Linked DNA regions of Arabidopsis thaliana. The protein of the gene in region 1 interacts with the protein of each later gene in a pairwise test. Each region holds a gene or a part of one and is shown in the gene's direction. Other genes may lie near its edges. The genes, in order: AT2G01370 and AT3G60670.

The links.
Region 2: the proteins of AT2G01370 (region 1) and AT3G60670 interact in a two-hybrid assay, tested with the Arabidopsis thaliana proteins (one large-scale study listed by BioGRID).

Annotation. Positions count from the first base shown.
Region 1 is NC_003071.7:165,804-173,945, reverse strand, and holds AT2G01370 (DNA-binding storekeeper protein-related transcriptional regulator), read left to right. Parts: upstream 1-4,303; 5' UTR 4,304-4,396; coding exon 4,397-5,155; 3' UTR 5,156-5,315; downstream 5,316-8,142. Other genes in the region: EMB3111 (Tetratricopeptide repeat (TPR)-like superfamily protein), read right to left, coding at 1-821, 970-1,690; AT2G01379 (uncharacterized protein), read right to left, coding at 2,603-2,848; AT2G01360 (pentatricopeptide (PPR) repeat protein), read right to left, coding at 5,467-6,015; QPT (quinolinate phoshoribosyltransferase), read left to right, coding at 6,737-6,786, 6,875-7,011, 7,090-7,223, 7,309-7,455, 7,663-7,746, 7,879-8,031, 8,118-8,142.
Region 2 is NC_003074.8:22,421,399-22,430,531, reverse strand, and holds AT3G60670 (PLATZ transcription factor family protein), read left to right. Parts: upstream 1-4,162; 5' UTR 4,163-4,340; intron 4,341-4,457; coding exon 4,458-4,634; intron 4,635-4,740; coding exon 4,741-4,815; intron 4,816-4,994; coding exon 4,995-5,135; intron 5,136-5,492; coding exon 5,493-5,837; 3' UTR 5,838-6,096; downstream 6,097-9,133. Other genes in the region: AT3G60680 (DUF641 family protein (DUF641)), read right to left, coding at 1-286; AT3G60660 (spindle/kinetochore-associated-like protein), read right to left, coding at 7,365-7,442, 7,588-7,701, 7,806-7,835, 7,911-8,016, 8,095-8,162, 8,299-8,386, 8,492-8,604, 8,749-8,873 and 1 more.

The DNA of each region.
Region 1 (8,142 bases):
CTCTCTCATCTCTCGTAATATCTTCATTGCTTTCTCTGGACTCCCTGCTGAGATATAAACATCCATCAGCGCAGTGTAAGCAGCTACACCCTTTTGATCATCCGGAAGTAAGTCGAAAACGTCTGCGGCTAAACGAGGTCTTCTCCCAAACCCGAGCCTGTGGATCAACATAGCTCCTTGGTAACAACCAAGCGAGTGTTGGGCTTTCACCATCTCCTTGACCACTTCAATCACTTTAGGAAGCTCGTTTGATCTCAGAAAGTTACCAATTAACGCGAGATACGCTGACTTCTTGAGATGAATTCCCATTTCCAAGCTGTAATCAAAAGCCAACGAAGCCCCCTCTGTTCTACAACGGTCACAGTTTGTTTCTATGATTGCTGAAACAACAAAAGAATCCAGCTTTATGTTCCTATCTCTCATCTGGTTAAGTAAAATGTCAACTGCAACCAGATTCTGCTTCATCAAGAGAACGGAGCTGATAACTCTACTATCATCTGAATTCTTAGTGTCATTAACTTCCGCTGTTGGAGTCTCATCAATGTCACTGGAGCACAACGATTCAACGGAAATATGCGAGTTGACTTCCCTTAACAGATCATCACTTTCGCCTGCAGCTTTCAGTGTCTCTAAAGCTTCAACAAAGATAGGATAGCGTAGGACAACTCCATTTTCTTTCATGTACACAAGAACTCGAGTCATGAAAGATGTTTCCCCAAATTTCAAGGCTTTCGCTATCAGAATATTGCAAGCTGCTTTATCTGGCTGCACACCAATTTCTTGCATTTTAAAGAATATGTCCAAGGCTTCCTCACATTTTCCTGCAAAATCAAACGAAGAAACTAACACATCATCATCAACAAGGCTACAAAACATTCAGATACCAGAATCATCTACATAAAGCAAAAGTTTTGGATTTTCAGCTAAGCATTTTAACAAACACTTAGTGTGCAAGAGAATGAAGTTGACCTGTGGCGACAAGATACTCCATCAATACAGTATAAGTGTGACAATTCGGAGAAACCCGCGACCGTAACATCTCCTTATACACCTCCGTGGCTTCTTCCACCCTCCCATCAGCGAAAAGCATCTTCATGTAAGCAGTGTACGACACAACGGTAGGTTCGCACCCATTATCTCTCATCTCCTCCCACAACCTCATTGCTCCATCCACATCACCGGAGCTTGAAACCCAGTGAATCAGCGATGTATAAGTCACCGTATCGATCAACACACCCTTCTCCTTCATAAGGTGAAAAACAGAGTACATGGATTGAATCCGACCGGCTTCTCCGAAGATATCGAGCATGGTGGTATAAGTGAAGTGGTCGTGTTTGAAACCCTTGATTTGAGCAGCCCAGTTGAAAAAGAGCCAAGCTTTCTGCATCGGAGGATGTGCTTTCAAGACACGGTTGATAATGTGAGAATCCCATCTGACGCCGAGATGTGGAAGCTGTTCTTGAGCAGAGTCCCAATTGGAGTACTTGAGGATGTTATAGATGTTGGATACAATGTCTCTTGTGTAAACACTGGGATCTGGTAGGGTCTGTGTTTTCACAAGTTTGGGTTTTTGGGAGAATCGCTTGGAGTTGGTGGGTTTTAGACGAGGAAGAGAGTGAAGTAGCTTGACGGAGCTCCGGCGATTGGAGAATTGGATTGGGGTATTGCGGAAGATGCTAGAGAAGCGCATGAAGCTTTGCCCAGAGAGATAACCAATTCTAAACTCCAACCTTGCAGTGTATTAGAAAGCTTTGTTTGAATAAGACGCCGTTTTTTATTCAAGTAAAATTTCAAAAATCTAGATTCAAAGAAAAAAATTCAAAAATCTAAGCAAATCTTTAACCACAATTATAAAGTTAGGGTTTATAATTTGACTTAGGACCTGGGCGTTCGGGTATTCGCTTCGGTTTTAGTTGGATTCCGATTCCTTCGGTTTTTGAGTGTAGAATCCATATATGAACCGAAACAGTTTCAGTTTGGTACGGGTTTGGTTCTAGTTCTTTCGGTTATGAAGTTTGGGATCTATTCGGATATTTTATTTCAGATATTTCGGATATTTTCGAGTATTTTTTTGGATATTGTGGTGTTATATATATATTTTCAAGTATATTTTGGTATTTTAGGTATTTTTGATTATTCAATCTAAAAATAACTAATATTTTTGGATAATATAATCATATTTCGGATATCTAAAATATTTTTGGGTTCGGTTCCTATTATTTTGGTTCTAGAATTTAGGATCTATTTAAGTATTTTACCATTTCGGTTCGGATTCGGGTTCGGTTCTTTTTGCTTCGGTTCCGGTTCGGTTCTTTCGGTTCAGTTATTATGCCCACGCCTAATTTGACTTGTGTTTTACTCGCTTATCTGTCCACTTTTATCTTCTTGTGAAATTTTCAAGTTACAAAAACAAATACTTGGCACCAAAATTGTGTGAATTAGTTAGTTAATGATCAAATGGTTAAATAACACAAAGAGTTGTATAATTTATGTCCAAAAGGTATTACAATTTCGACTCTTTCGAGTTTGGAGGAGTCGAATCGTGGATACATATATGTATGAGAAGAGAGACAATAAATAAAAGAATGTGGTTGATCAAGCTTCAAGGGCAAGTAACATAAGTGTGGGAAGAATAAACTTGTGAATGAGAAAGAGGGTTTAGTTTGTTGTGACATGGAGAAGGCTGTGAAGGAGGAACTGGACCTCGTTGGAGCTTATTCTGCAAAGCAAACCTTCTACCTATATCTTCCTTCTTCATTCTCAGCCTTGACGTTGCCGATGTTCCTCTTGATCCCACCAAAGCTATAAAACACAACATCACTATAATGAATTTCCACATGATCCTCATGATAACTCGGCCTTGTAACGCGGGGATGAATGGTCTAGTGGTTGATTAGTATGAGGAAACGTTGAGTTAGCTAATAATGAATCTTTTGAGGGAATTAAGAAGGATGAGAGATAAAAGTTTTGATGGAGGAAATATATAAAGATACATGGAGAGGGAGAGAGACAATGGTTTTATTTGAATGTTGTTGTGAAATATTCAAAGTAAACGAAAGAGCGAGGCAGCTTCTTGTAATTGTTTGACTTAGAACTCTTTACTTGTTACGTACATGTTTCATGTTTGAGTGTTACGTTTTATGTTGAATTTTGTTAGTGCCTTCATTTTAGTTTTAGCAGCCTATTTAGAACAATTTCTTTATTTTATTAAAATTTTGCACACATTTATTTACATGTTTACCTACCTTACACTAGTATATGTCATACACTAATAAATTTTGCACACATTTATTGAAATTTCTGATCGAGAATTTGGAGGGGGAAACAAATGATATTCCACGGAGATATGGGAACATGTTATTCACAAAAGCAACGATCGCTGCAAACCCAAAGTCCTTTTTTTTAAATCGTCTTAAAAAGTGTCTTTATTATTCTGATTACTGAGTATGAATAAGCCTTAGGCTCTATTTTTAGGATGGTGGTGGTCCTATGAAGTAACCTAAGTGTCACGGTATTTGAGGGAGATTGTGAGGGACTTTTACATGGACAATGATTATAGAAAACTATGGGATAAGACTGTCAGTTGCAGGTTGATAGTAATAGCGGAATTGAGATTAAAAAGTTTCCCTTGTTGACGTCAAGAGAGTACGTACTAGCTTGGAGATTGTGGCAAGGAAAGGACAAGAAGTTGTACTGTTTCACAAAGGTACTTATCATTTTGCTCTTTGGCGTTATTATTAGGAATATGGTAGCACAACAGAGGAAGTATGTACGTGTAAGTTATTTTAGAACTGGTTGGCGAATCAAGCAAGGCAAGTGGATTCACCTAAAAGTTGTTCTAGTCAGTGTTGTTTGAATACCATATTTTGCTTGTCGCCTACACGTTTGTAAGATGGAAAACGCTCTTTGTAAATACATAGCCACCAGTCATAGAACCCAAGGACCCATTTTCTCTGCTGTTACCTTAATGAAAAAGGTGAGATTCATATATATGGAAAAATCTCTTCTGTAAAATGGTACTTAGTGTCCTGAAACTGAATATGCATAAAGCAACCGGTTGGGTTGGGTCTTCACTGACATGATTGTTGTAGGTTCCATCAGAGTTAGAAACTCACAAAGATAATGTCACAGCCTCCATTCAAACTAGTTCGTGAAGGAGTGTTGAGTTGTAGCCAAACAGAAGAAAAAATTGATATTGGGACAAATGATCGATCATTAGTGACATTAGATACAAAACTTGACAGCCCTTCTTTTTGGAAGTTGTAGCCACAATTACTTAACCCTAATGCTTTTTTTTTTTTTTGTCAAACACTTAACCCTAATGCTAAGCGGCTATATAAATAGAAGATCTTTATTCTGATATTATCTCTACAACTTTTTTATCTTGAAAAAAAAAATGAAAGGAATAACAAAAAAACTTTTGGTCTCCCGCTCTCTCAAACGTCTGACGGCCAAGAAAAACCGGAGGAAGATTCATCGAGAGACGAACAAGCGTCTCAAACCGGAGGAAGATCCATCGATGGTGAAGAGGCGTCAAGACTCTGATTCAGATTCGCTGGAGAAGGAGGTTTCAGTTGTTGTAACCAAGACGAGTGATGATGAGATGGTGTCAACAGATACCAAAAAGAATTATTTTCAAAGAATATGGAGTGATGATGATGAGATTGTTTTGCTGCAAGGCATGGTTGATTTTGAGAATGATAAAGGGAAGAGTCCTTATGATGATATGACTGGTTTTATTGATACGGTGAAGAACTTCATTAGCTTTCAAGCGAATCAACATCAATTCACAACCAAAATCCGTCGCTTGAAGGACAAGTTCCTCAAGAAATGGAACAATGGTGTAGATGAGAACTCTCTTGTAAATGCTCACGACCGGAAATGTTTTCAACTTTCCAAAGTAATTTGGGAACCTACAACTAAGGTGGAGGAGGTAGGAGATTGGTTTGTAAATTCTTATCTTGTAGGATCAATTGCGAGGTTAGGGGTGAGTGAAGACGTAATGAAACAGAGTTGGAGCATGGTTCCGATAGAGACGAAGAAGGAGGTCGAAGAGAAGTTCAAGCTGTTGAAAGATGAAGAATCTGAAAACCTACGGCTAAAGACAAGTTTTTTGCAAAAGGTCAACTCTATGATCATTGAAGCAACAAATTAGACAAGTATCGAATTAGAGGTTTAATGCATCTTTTTCATTTCCATCCCATATGAGTCTGTTTTTTCTATTTGGTTTGTTATTGGTTTTTGATACTTGGATTGTGTTGTTAAAAACACTATGGAAGAACGGCAGATTAAATTTTAATGCATCCAATTGTGGTCAAGGTTTATGGTCTAAATTTTGGTCAGAATACTCTTGTTAGATACCTCTCACTTTGCTTAGGGTCAACAAGCATCAATGTTTCTGAGATCACAGATTTTGTAATCAAACAGAAGCAACAGATTTTGTCTATCTTGCAAGCAAACAGAAGATCACATGCATATTTTGTCTTCAACATGAACAATTTCCCGGAAACGTGTAGAAGCAACAAGACTCTTCTGCTCCTTCCTCAATGACGATGTTTCTCTCTGGAAATCACTGGTTTTCTCAAGACCAGACAATAGAACATCGTATGTCCCAAGCGAAGGCATTATCTCTCGCTCTCTCATCTCTCCTAATATCTTCATTGCTTTCTCTGGACTCCCTGCTGAGATATAAACATCCATCAGCGCAGTGTAAGCAGATAGACCCTTTTGATCATCCGGAAGTAAGTCTAAAGCCTCTGCAGCTAAGCTAGGTCTTCTCCCAAACCCGAGCATGTGGATCAGCATTGCTCCATGGTACACACCAAGCGAGTGTTGGGATTTCACCATCTCCTTGACCACATCAATCACTTTAGAGAGCTCGTTTGATCTCAGAAAGTTACCAGCTAACGCAAGATACGCTGACTTCTCAAGATGAATTCCCATTTCCAAGCTCCAATCAAGAGCCAACGAAGCCAAGTAAATAACCAAGATACTGTGCCAACTATTAGTAGTCATTAAGAGACAAAATCAGTACTAGATACTGTGCCAACTATTGTCAAACCCAAAAGTGTTTGGACGGTTTCCTATTATATCTCTATGCTTTTACTAAGACAACCTAGCAAATATTCTGAAAGTGTAACTGCACGACTGATAGTTGCATCAATAGTGTGACAAGAAGCCATAAATGTTTGATCAGAGGTGTACCATACGGGTACCTGCATAGTTGGAGTAAACAATTGAAAGATGAATTTAGCCAAGCAGGAATAACAAACAGTTTAAAATTTTGTAATCGATCCAGGGAGTGTATTTACTCAAAGAACAGATCAAGGACTCTTCTAATAGCTCCTGAGCTAGCTAGTTCTTTTCCTATTGCTTCACTTCGAGTTTTCAGTAAGACATGAATGAACTCCACAATCTAAGACAAGCCATCAGCAACACAAACGAAATCAGAAATATATTACACAACAGAAAACACACACAAGACACAAGAGTATATGTTTTGAGTTAGAACTCCGTACTTGTTACATGTTTGAGTGTTATGTTTTATGTTGAATTTAACTAAAATGCAGACGTTAGTATGGAATGGGCTTCACAAATAAAAGCCCAATAGTATGTTTTTTTGGTAGGGAGCCCAATAGTATGTTGGTTCACCCAAATATCATTTCTTTCTCTGAGAGCTGTTTATTATATTCACACAAAGAAGACCAACAAGAAACAGAGTTGAATCAGTTCTACAATGATCTCTGTCTCTCGATTCTTGTCGCCTCAATTCTACGCAATTCCAAGGTTTTATCCGACAAAACCCAATCTTTTAAGTCTCTCCTTTGTTCATTTCTGTAATCGTGGCGACCAAACTCAATCTCAATTGTTTCAGGAGCTTCGTAAAAATGTCTGCTTCAGCGACTCAAACGGCCGGAGAAGTTTCAATGGGGATCAAGCCTCCTTCACACCCTACTTACGATTTGAAAGCTGTTATCAAACTAGCCCTAGCTGAAGATGCTGGTCATACAGGTTCTCTCTTCACCTTCTAAAGTTTCGATTTTTAATTTGTGAAATTGAGTTGGTCAAAAATATATGATTTGAGTGAAGGAGATGTAACGTGTATGGCTACGATACCGTTTGATATGGAAGTGGAAGCTTATTTCTTGGCCAAGGAAGATGGTATTGTTGCTGGAGTTGCTCTTGCTGACATGATTTTTGAACATGTTGATCCCTCCTTGAAGGTGTTTCCATCATCTTACTTGAAGTCTTTTGATTTGTTTTGTATGTGTCTTTTAGCTTGAAGTGATTTAGTTTCTAATATCTCAGGTTGAATGGATGCGAAAGGATGGAGATTATGTTCATAAAGGATTGAAGTTTGGGAAAGTATCAGGGAATGCACATAAGATTGTTGTTGCTGAAAGAGTTTTGCTCAACTTTATGCAGAGGATGAGTGGAATTGCAACCCTTACCAAGGTCTTTTTTTTGTGTCTCTATAGATTCTCTCTAGTGATTGGTGTGGTTGCATTCATATTAACTTAGTGAGCTTATATCTTATAATGACAAGGCTTTGTTGGCTTAGTACATGGTTTATAGTAACTCAACAGTATCCATTCCTTATTTCGTTTTATAGTACAGTGTTAGTAGTGAACTTTGTCCAGCTGATGAGTCTGTTTCCTGCAGTTAATGGCAGATGCTGCATCCCCTGCATGTATACTGGAGACAAGAAAAACTGCTCCTGGTTTGCGGTTGGTAGATAAATGGGCGGTACGTTCCACACTACTGTTATACCTATTTCAAACCCAACCTTTGAGAGTTGAGACACATTTGTTGCTATATTTGTCTCATCTTTGGAATATTAGGATTATGATACACCTCAAGTTTTCTTGCTTAGCTTAGGTACTGATTGGTGGAGGGAGGAATCATAGGATGGGGTTATTTGATATGGTGATGATAAAAGATAACCATATCTCAGCTGCAGGCGGTATAGTAAACGCCGTCAAATCCGTAGACGAATATCTAAAGCAAAAGAATCTCGAAATGGATGTAGAGGTAACTAATCTAAAGCTTTCAAACCGTTTTGTGGCTGCAAGTTAAATGGCAAACAAGTTGTAATCACTATATATCTTTACTTAAAGGTGGAGACGAGGACGCTTGAGGAAG
Region 2 (9,133 bases), on another chromosome or scaffold:
CACCCAAATTCTTCGTCTGAACATCGTTCACCGGAGATTCAATAGGAGATCCCGGAGAAGAAGCACTAAGAAGAGGCTTATCGGGTTTAAGAACGACGACTTTCTGATCGGTGATAAAATCCTCGGAGGAATCGAGAAGAGAGAAACCCTCAGCATCGGTTCTCTCATTATCGTCTTCGGTGAAGAACTCGTAGGTCTTGGTCTTGACGGCCATGGCTAATTTCTGAAACATTTGAGAGAATTGTGGAGGAGCTGCTGTGATTGCCGTTGTTTCCACTTCCCGCATCGCTCAAAATACGCAATCTCGAGAAGAAGAAGAAGAAGAAGAAGAAAACAAAATCCAAATCGAATTGGGAAACGAAAAAGACTTGATTCTGATTGACCAACCTAAGAGTTAATAACAGTCAAAAAAACTTGAGAGAAGGTTTTTGCTTTGAAGGATTTTAATGGTGCTTTGCTTTGGATGCATTTGGAAGAAACGAATGCACACAAAAAAAAAACCTTTACCTTTTCGCTGTATTATTATTTTTTACATTTAGAGTTTTTTTTTTTCCGCTGACTTTTTTTTAGTTTGATGATGATTTGGTTAACGGTAACAAGTGATTAATACCATTTCGTTTAATAATGGTTAGTGACACGACTAAACCGGTTATGCAAATGGTGTAACAGAGACAACATATATTGGCAAAGTAATTATATCATTTCGTTAAGTGAAATTAACTTCTTCTAGTGCGTACACAATTAACGTTTTCACATTTCTTTTTGGGTTGAATTATTGTTTTGTAATTTGCTACTGATTGGACATATAAATTGGTTATAAAATTAAACAGGACCTTACGTCTACGTTACATATTTAACACTCGTATCTATAAATGTGAACGGCACGAAAATTAAGTGTGGCATCCACTTTCAAACATTTCTTTGATCATTTAGACTTGAATACTCTGATAACTAATAGACTAATACTAATAGTAGTAAGAAATATTTTAACCGTCCGGTTAGTCATTATTGTATGATTTGGATATAAGAAAATGAATTTAAGAGTTTTATTGATTTCTTTGTTGTATTAGAATGTGTAAAACTTTTATTAATTGACCCACTAAGACTAATCATGGCTTTGAAGACACCTTTACAAGGACATGTCTTTCGAAACTCATCTCCTAGATTCTTGCTTTATTTCTTCCCTTTTCTTCACGTCTTTGTGATGCTTTTAGCTAACATTTTTAGTGGTTAATTGTTTATAATTAATTATGTCCTATATTCCTTTTCGTGTAATCATAACGCAAATTAAGGGTTGTATCTTTTTCACATATACCACTAGAAAGAAACGATACTTGTGTTTTTTTTCATCTTTCATCTTTTCTATTTTTCTTGTTTAACAAATGTCTTTCGAAACTCATCTCTCAAATTCTTGCTTTAATTCTTTCTTTTTTCTTGACAATACTTTGTGATCCTTTTAACCACTAACAATATTCTAAATTATATCTCGAAGATCAAGATAATTGTACAAAATCTTTAAAAATATATCAAACAAGTTTGATTTTTTTATTTTTATTTTGTCATATTCAAGAGTTGCCGCATAAGCTAAATAGAGAGTCCATGTATTTGTGTGTTAGGTGAGTGGTATAGTCAAAGAAAGTACAAATGGGAGAACAACACATTTGAAAAAAAAAGATTTGATCGACAATCCTGAACAAGCCTCACGGTCGAAAACGCCATAAGACTATCAAAGGTATCTAAAAGATTTAATAGTATCAAGTAACTTTCAAAATTTGCGTTGTCAGCTTAATAAAGACCAGTATCAGTGGTTTGTGTTCAAAACCGATGAGAATAACCAGACTATGTTCGAACTGTTACCATTAAATTTATCAAATATTAATGTCTAGATGTTTTTTTGTACAAACTACTGACAATTTAAACTTCAATGATATTTATTATCACTTTTTTACTTCACCTAATCTATTTAGATATTGTATAATTGCTAAATCATATTTACAATCACCCTGAATTTATTACATTAGATTTACTTTAGTGAAATATTCATATATATAATAATATATTTAAGTTAATTTATATATAGAACAAATTTTAATGTACCTTTTCATTACATTTGATATTTTATGACCATTTGTATCATGAAGTCTCTTATATTATTGGTTAAAAAAAATAAAAAATTAGATTATAGTTTTTGATATAAATAAATAAATCTTAAAATATGTAAGTATCCTATATTTTTTAAGAGAGGAAGTAGTGAATTAGTGATGCACCTTACATTTACCGTGTTCGAGTATATGCTGAAAGTGAAAGGTTTTTAAGTTAATAATTTGTGTAACTTTTTGTAATCTGATCCCGCTAAAAAAAAAATAACATTTTACATTGATACATTTGTTTATTATATCATTCTGTCTAAATTCCACAATGACATATAGAAATAGTTATCTTTTTTATTACATTGTGGGACATAAAATCAAATACAAAGACAAAATTGAGGGTCGTATGTCACTTTCCCTTGATTTCATTTGACCGTTTGGTTACCAACGATTTCGGTTGTTAGATCAAAGTTTGTTCTTCAACGACGTCGGTTTTGACTAAATCAATAACACCAATCGTGCTGTTGTGATCAGGACCACCCCAGATGTTTTAAATTCGATTAAGGAGAAATGTGGATCAACCATAACAAACAATCGTAAGTAGCCCAAATAAAGGATAAAAGCCCCAGCCCATGTAGATATCGTAAATTGACTAAAATACCCCTGATGATCAATAGTAACTAAAAGGCTAACGAGAAAAGGGGACAGCTGGATCGAAATCGAATCGGATCAGATCAAAAGAAAGCAGTGGCGTCGCATTCTTTCTCTGCCTGAGGCTGCTGCTGCTGCTCCTCCGTACCAACTCTGATCCACCTCTCTGTCCCTCTCTCTCTCTCTCTTTCTATACATACACTCATATTCTTTTTTTTTCATTTTTAAAAATTTGTATGCAAAAATTGAGAGATTATTTTACTTATAATAATAAAATGAAAATAATAATAGGTGGTCTAGTGAGGTACGTAGGTAAGTTTAGTAGTATAAGCAATAACTAATAAATCCCATCAACTTTGCACTGGTTTTCGAGAACAGTCTACAGCTGTGACAATGGGTCTTAGGGTTCTTGGAATTTGCTCTCTATTTCTTCCTCTATTCAATGTATCAATCATATACTTCATTTAGCTATTACAATTATGTTTTCTTAATTATTAATGAAGCTTATTTTTATTTTTTTGTGTGGATGGTAATGTTTTTAATTATAAAACGGTGCTTAGCTTTAATTTGGGTATTTATTCTCACATTTTTACTGAACGAAATACACGTAGTAGTAAAAAGAGAAATTTGTTTTTAGTAGGTTATATTGGGTTTACGAAATCGCCACTTAGAAATGATCAAATGAAAAGTAGACTGTTGGGGAGAGTCTTGTCATTTAGCACTTTTTCACAGTGAACCAGACAGACCTTCTAAACAAAAACAACACATACAATTATATCATGAAGAGACGATACAGGAAAATCAAATTGGTTGTATAAAGAAATCTCGTTTTACTTTCTTTTTAAAAACCCAACTCATATTGTTATAAGAAAGAGAGTTTTTTTTTTCTGTCTAAAGAAAGAGAGATTAAAACTCTGAATTTGGCTTTAAAATTTTGATATTGACGACTGTCACATACCAGAGGACTGAATTTTTTTTAATACTATTTCTGAAGAAAATGCTTTCTTAAATTTAATTATTAATTATAATATAAAGTTCATATTCACACGGTATATAAAAAAAAGGTTTTTTCATATGACAGTAAATATAAAATTTATTATTATTGCCAAGCTGAATTCTAATAAATATACACTTCTGTTTGTCAAGTTGGAACTGTATCTGTCAATGAAAAGGTACTTAATAATGATAAATAACCCAAAATTGTTACTTTTCAACACTCATAATCGAATTCTGCTATCTAGTAGTAGTCATTACGTAGTAAGTTAGTAACGTATCTAAGTGAACCACTTCTCTAACTAATGGATAAAACTAAATGAGAGTAAATAATCAACAAAACAAATTAATTAACGAATACTAAAGATTACAACACATCATTAAGGAGAGAAAGAAGAGAAGACTCATTTGAATTTAAGCTAGTGGTCACTCTCTCCAGGCGCCGCTCTCTCTTTCCTTCTTTCTTTCTCTCTCTCTCTCTGAGAATGGTCAGTCAATTTCACCACTGAGAGAGCTCAAAATCGCCTGACCTTGACCTTACTCTCTCTATCTCTTCCCCGAGAAAACCACCTCCCAGTGTAGATAACCAGAAGAAGATAAGCCAAGGTGGGTCTTCTCAATTTTACCTTTTTAGTCCAAAAAACATGAAATTGAAACATGGGTCTTGATTCATGTATGGGTTTCGTCTTTAAAGTTTACTGTTTTTTTTTTGGTATTTTGCAGATGGAATCTGGAGAATTTCCTGCATGGCTTGAGGTTCTGTTAAAAGACAAGTTTTTCAACGCTTGTTTGGATCATGAAGATGATAAGAAGAACGAGAAGAACATATTATGTATCGATTGTTGTCTTACCATCTGTCCTCACTGTCTCTCTTCTCATACCTCTCATCGTCTTCTTCAGGTCTCTCTCTTAAAATAAACAAACTTTTTTTTAATGGTTTCAAAAATCTTCATATTTGTCGGAAGAAAAATATGAACTTGGTGTGTTTCTGGGAATCTTTACGCAGATAAGAAGATACGTGTATAGAGACGTTTTGAGGGTTGAAGATGGTTCTAAGCTAATGGATTGCTCTTTAATTCAGGTATAACTCGGTTCTGGTTGTATTTAATTATCATGATAAAACTCTTAATCCGTTTATTGTATACATTAAAAGTCCAATTTTCATTGGTTCTTGTGCCCTAAAATTTTGACAGCTTTAATTAATACTCGTTGTCTTTTTCTTTTTCTTTGTGTGTGTGTATGTGTTGATGATGATTAAAGCCATACACAACGAACAGTTCAAAAGTTGTGTTCATCAATGAACGGCCTCAGTCTCGACAATTTCGTGGTTCCGGTAACATTTGTATCACCTGTGACCGGAGTCTCCAGTCTCCTTACCTCTTCTGCTGTCTCTCCTGCAAGGTCTGCTTTTTCTTGTTCTAATTACTTAAAAGGAACATCTTTTCTTCGTTAATTAAGTTTTCATTTAAAATTCTATCACATACCCAGTCCGATTTACCACTTTTCTTCATCTGGGTCGATCTTCTTTTTTAGAAATTTCATTTTTTGATGCACGAGTACACGAAATTGTCGTCAGATAAAAAAGGAACGTTTTTATTTGTTGTCTCATTTATTTTTCAAATTCTTTCAAAATACACAATTCAATTTCTTTCTGTTTTTGTTGTTTTTCTGCTTTTTAATATAAACACGCGTGTACGATCATATTTACACGTAATTGTCGCTGAAAACACAAACACATGGTTTGTTTGTTTTATGTAGATTAGTGACGTCATAATGAGACAAAGAGGACTCTCAGGGTTTCTCCGCGTCTGCAACGTTCTTGATTTAACCGACGAAGTCACGACAACGACACCGAGTTCCACTCTCGAGCCCACCGGGTCGAACCGAACATCTTCCGAGTCAAGTGGTAACGAAGGAGAAGACATGTTCTGGTGTCAGGCGCTCGCTTGCACCGCCACTACTGAAATCGTTAGGAAGAAAAGAAGCAGCTTGTCGACGACTTGCAGGAGAGTCACGGAGGTGGTTTCAACGACTAACACGGAAGCTCCGGTGAACTTTTTAAACCGTCGGAAGAATCCGCCGCAACGCGCCCCGCTTTATTAACTCGTGACGTTTGGCGAAATTTGGTTGGTCCAAGTGGTAAGTAGAATGAATACACGTAACTACTATAGTCTTATTTTATATTGTTAATCAATATCTCTAAATAACGAATCGAATTTTAGGTTTTTTTAAGAAATGGAATTAAGAATAGTTGAAAAGATCTCTCCTGGTTTTGTCTGACTCTGATATCTGTACCGCGTAATGAGAGAACTCTATGTTATTTAATTTAAATACTTTTCGTATAATGAAACATGTTTTCGTATAATCCGTTTTATTGCTTCCCATTTTTTATAATTTTTTAAAAATACCTCTTCCTCCACGAATAGCAATTTCAGTACTATTGAGACGGCTTGATTTAACATTTACAGCGGCGAAGTAAATTCTTAAAGGATTAATATTTGTTGTCATTAAATGCATTAGACCGACCATATCTTTCTTGGCTGAGTTAAATGATACGTTTTGAAAATAAAAGAAGTAAAATGGTAGTGATGGAGAACTCTATAAGTCTAAATGTGGTCTGCAGAAAATTTATGAATGTTTCTTTCTTGTATGTATATAAAATTTAGGTCACAACTCACAAAATAGTAAACATGTTAATTAATTATTTGATATCAGTTGGTTGGTAATAAATGTGAATTTTCTTTAAAAAATGCATGCGATAAGACTGTATAGTGTGTGTTTTTGTCTTTATGCATAACGTATTTTGTGGGTTTTGCACGAACGAAAGACGACTAAAATTGGTTATTGGTTATACGAAAAAAGAAGACAAAGAGATTGGAACAGACATTATGGATAAACGTGAAATTGTGAATGTTTCTGAGGCAAATAGTCTTTTTTTTTTCTCTCCTGTTTCCCTGGACCACTTTCTTCTTCCCATTTCGTAGTGCCTCTTGATTTTTATTTCAGGACATATGAACAACAATAATGCAAGGATCGTCGTTTTCGCTTGGTTATTAGATTTGTTTTCTTCTTCTGTTCGGAAAATAATGTTGCCAAATTTACTTGTCCGTATCAAGATAAATGTATGGCAGCTACAATTTACTATCTATTGATTTTACGAATAGACAGTGACACAGATAAGATCCTTAAAGGTATTGGAGTATTAAGAAAACTATGTGGAGGTAAAAAGTCACTAAATAAAAACGGAAACCGAGTTTTGCTACTTTGTAGGTTTGAATGGGACAGGCCATTTGTGCACTGGAACTTGAACCAGATTGCTTAGAGAAATTGCTTTTTTAATATTATGAAAATAACGGAAATCGAGTTTTTCTACTTTTATGCAAATGTGAAAATTGCATTAAACATTTTTGTCCATATTATAAATTCAAATCCTGGGCCTAGCTGGGCCTGTCAGGCGGGCCGGTCTTAAGGATTAAGATTAAGGCTTAATGATGTTTAAGGGACCAGTAGACCTTCTATGATTCTATGGTACAAGGAGCTCAGAAGAAGCAAGAAACTATTGAAAAATGACGGAATTACCCCTTACGCTTGTGAAAATGAACAACTTACTTGAGGCAAGTTGGTTGGTTTCTAGTGAGGCTTCATAAGAATGATGACGCGGTTTTGTCCAATGCGAGTCTCACTAATACGACCAAGGTGGCGAAGAACCTGTTAATAGACACATCAAAATTTGACAATAAGCATGTGTTATCGATGTTAGTCTAACTCTGGTGAAGAGTTTAAGGAAGCATGAAAATGTTGTTTCTTTTTTGTTGAAATTTTGAAATGAAGGGAAGATATATTAGTTACTTACAGTAAGTATTGCTTTTCCTGTGTTGTCTAGTTTCAAACTTGGTCCCTTCATGTCAGTTTCAAGAAAGAAATGTTTGCCCTTCACTGCTTGCTCTGTTACGATATCTCGTAGTTTCTGCATATAAGAGTTTCAAGACAATCAAAGATTATAACAATGTTTTCACTAGTGAACGGATACTATCATCTAGACAGTGTGGTTGATGAGTTATATTAGCTTACAAGTGCTTTCTCCCAGAGATTTTCCGCTAGCTTTGGCAATATAAGACAAAAGCGTCAGTACAATTGTAGCCTATATAACTCAATTCCTTCAGCTGGTAAATATACCTTCTGTTTTGAGGCTGCAATAAGATGAGCATTTGCTTCAGCATATGAGGCCATGTCATTGATAGCAGCATTCACTTTCTCAAGGGTGAGCCTTCCTCTCATGTATCTTGTTTTTTGGAAAAATGTCAGAAAAGCGGTATGCATTTCACATAAACAAGGAGAAGAGAAAGTAAAATGTACTTACGATGAGAGTGAATTGAGTTCCTCAACAGTTATGTACCAAAGGGGAGGAGACCCGCGACCCTTCTTCTCCTGGAAACAAAACCAAAGATCAACCATAGACAGAGATAACAGAAATACACAATAGCAACAGTTTATCATTCATCGCCATTGAGTCTTAGAGGCCATAAAGTCTCTTTGAAGAAAACAAAGTATATGCAAGTTCTACCTTGGGTAAAACAGCTGCTTCCTCATCAAATTTCAAAGAGCTGAGAGTAGAATGTTGCTCGTACTGCTTGGCATTCTCTTGGAGCAGACTGGAATGAGAAACCACTAATCTTAATCAAACTTCTGGAGTAGTAATAAAAATCAAAGGCTATACCTAGAAATTGAAAAAAGAAGATGCAAGTAAATGTAAATACCATCTATTTAAATCTGAATTCAACATAGTAGCCTTGTCAGGAAAATGGGAAGGTGCATAAATAGACATCTTCTGCAACTTCCCTTGTTGTTTCAGTGATGCCTCTATAAGTTTCTACAGTCAACACACAAAACTCTCAAAGTCAAAAACCCAGGTCCAGATTCTAAACCCTAAATTACTCAAATTCAAATCATCTTACAGTGTAACGACGTTTCTAGAATCTGAATTTCAGAAATCTCGGAAGTAAATAAAACGTACCTTAGCTTTTGGAATAGCTTCGGTTTCTTCACGTAATCGGTCCTTGATCGATTGTACCTGAAGCTCCATTGAGCTCAACGCTGTGTCAATCGCCGATAAATCCGGGATGGTACTTGCAGGATACACTGCAGGAAATTGAAATTAGGTCATCAAATGAAGATATTGAATAACGAATTGAGTATTGAGTGTTTAGAACTAGGACTCACTGTTTCTGGCGATGACGAGTTCCTGCAATTCGCCGATTCGTTTATTGAAAGAAGCAATCAACGAATCTAGAGAAGATCCAGCTTGATTTCCCTCCATTCTTCACTAACCTCTCTCAATCTCCCAATCAAAGACTATCTGCTTCGCTTAGGTTTAAGAAGTTGGAAACTGCAGAAACTTT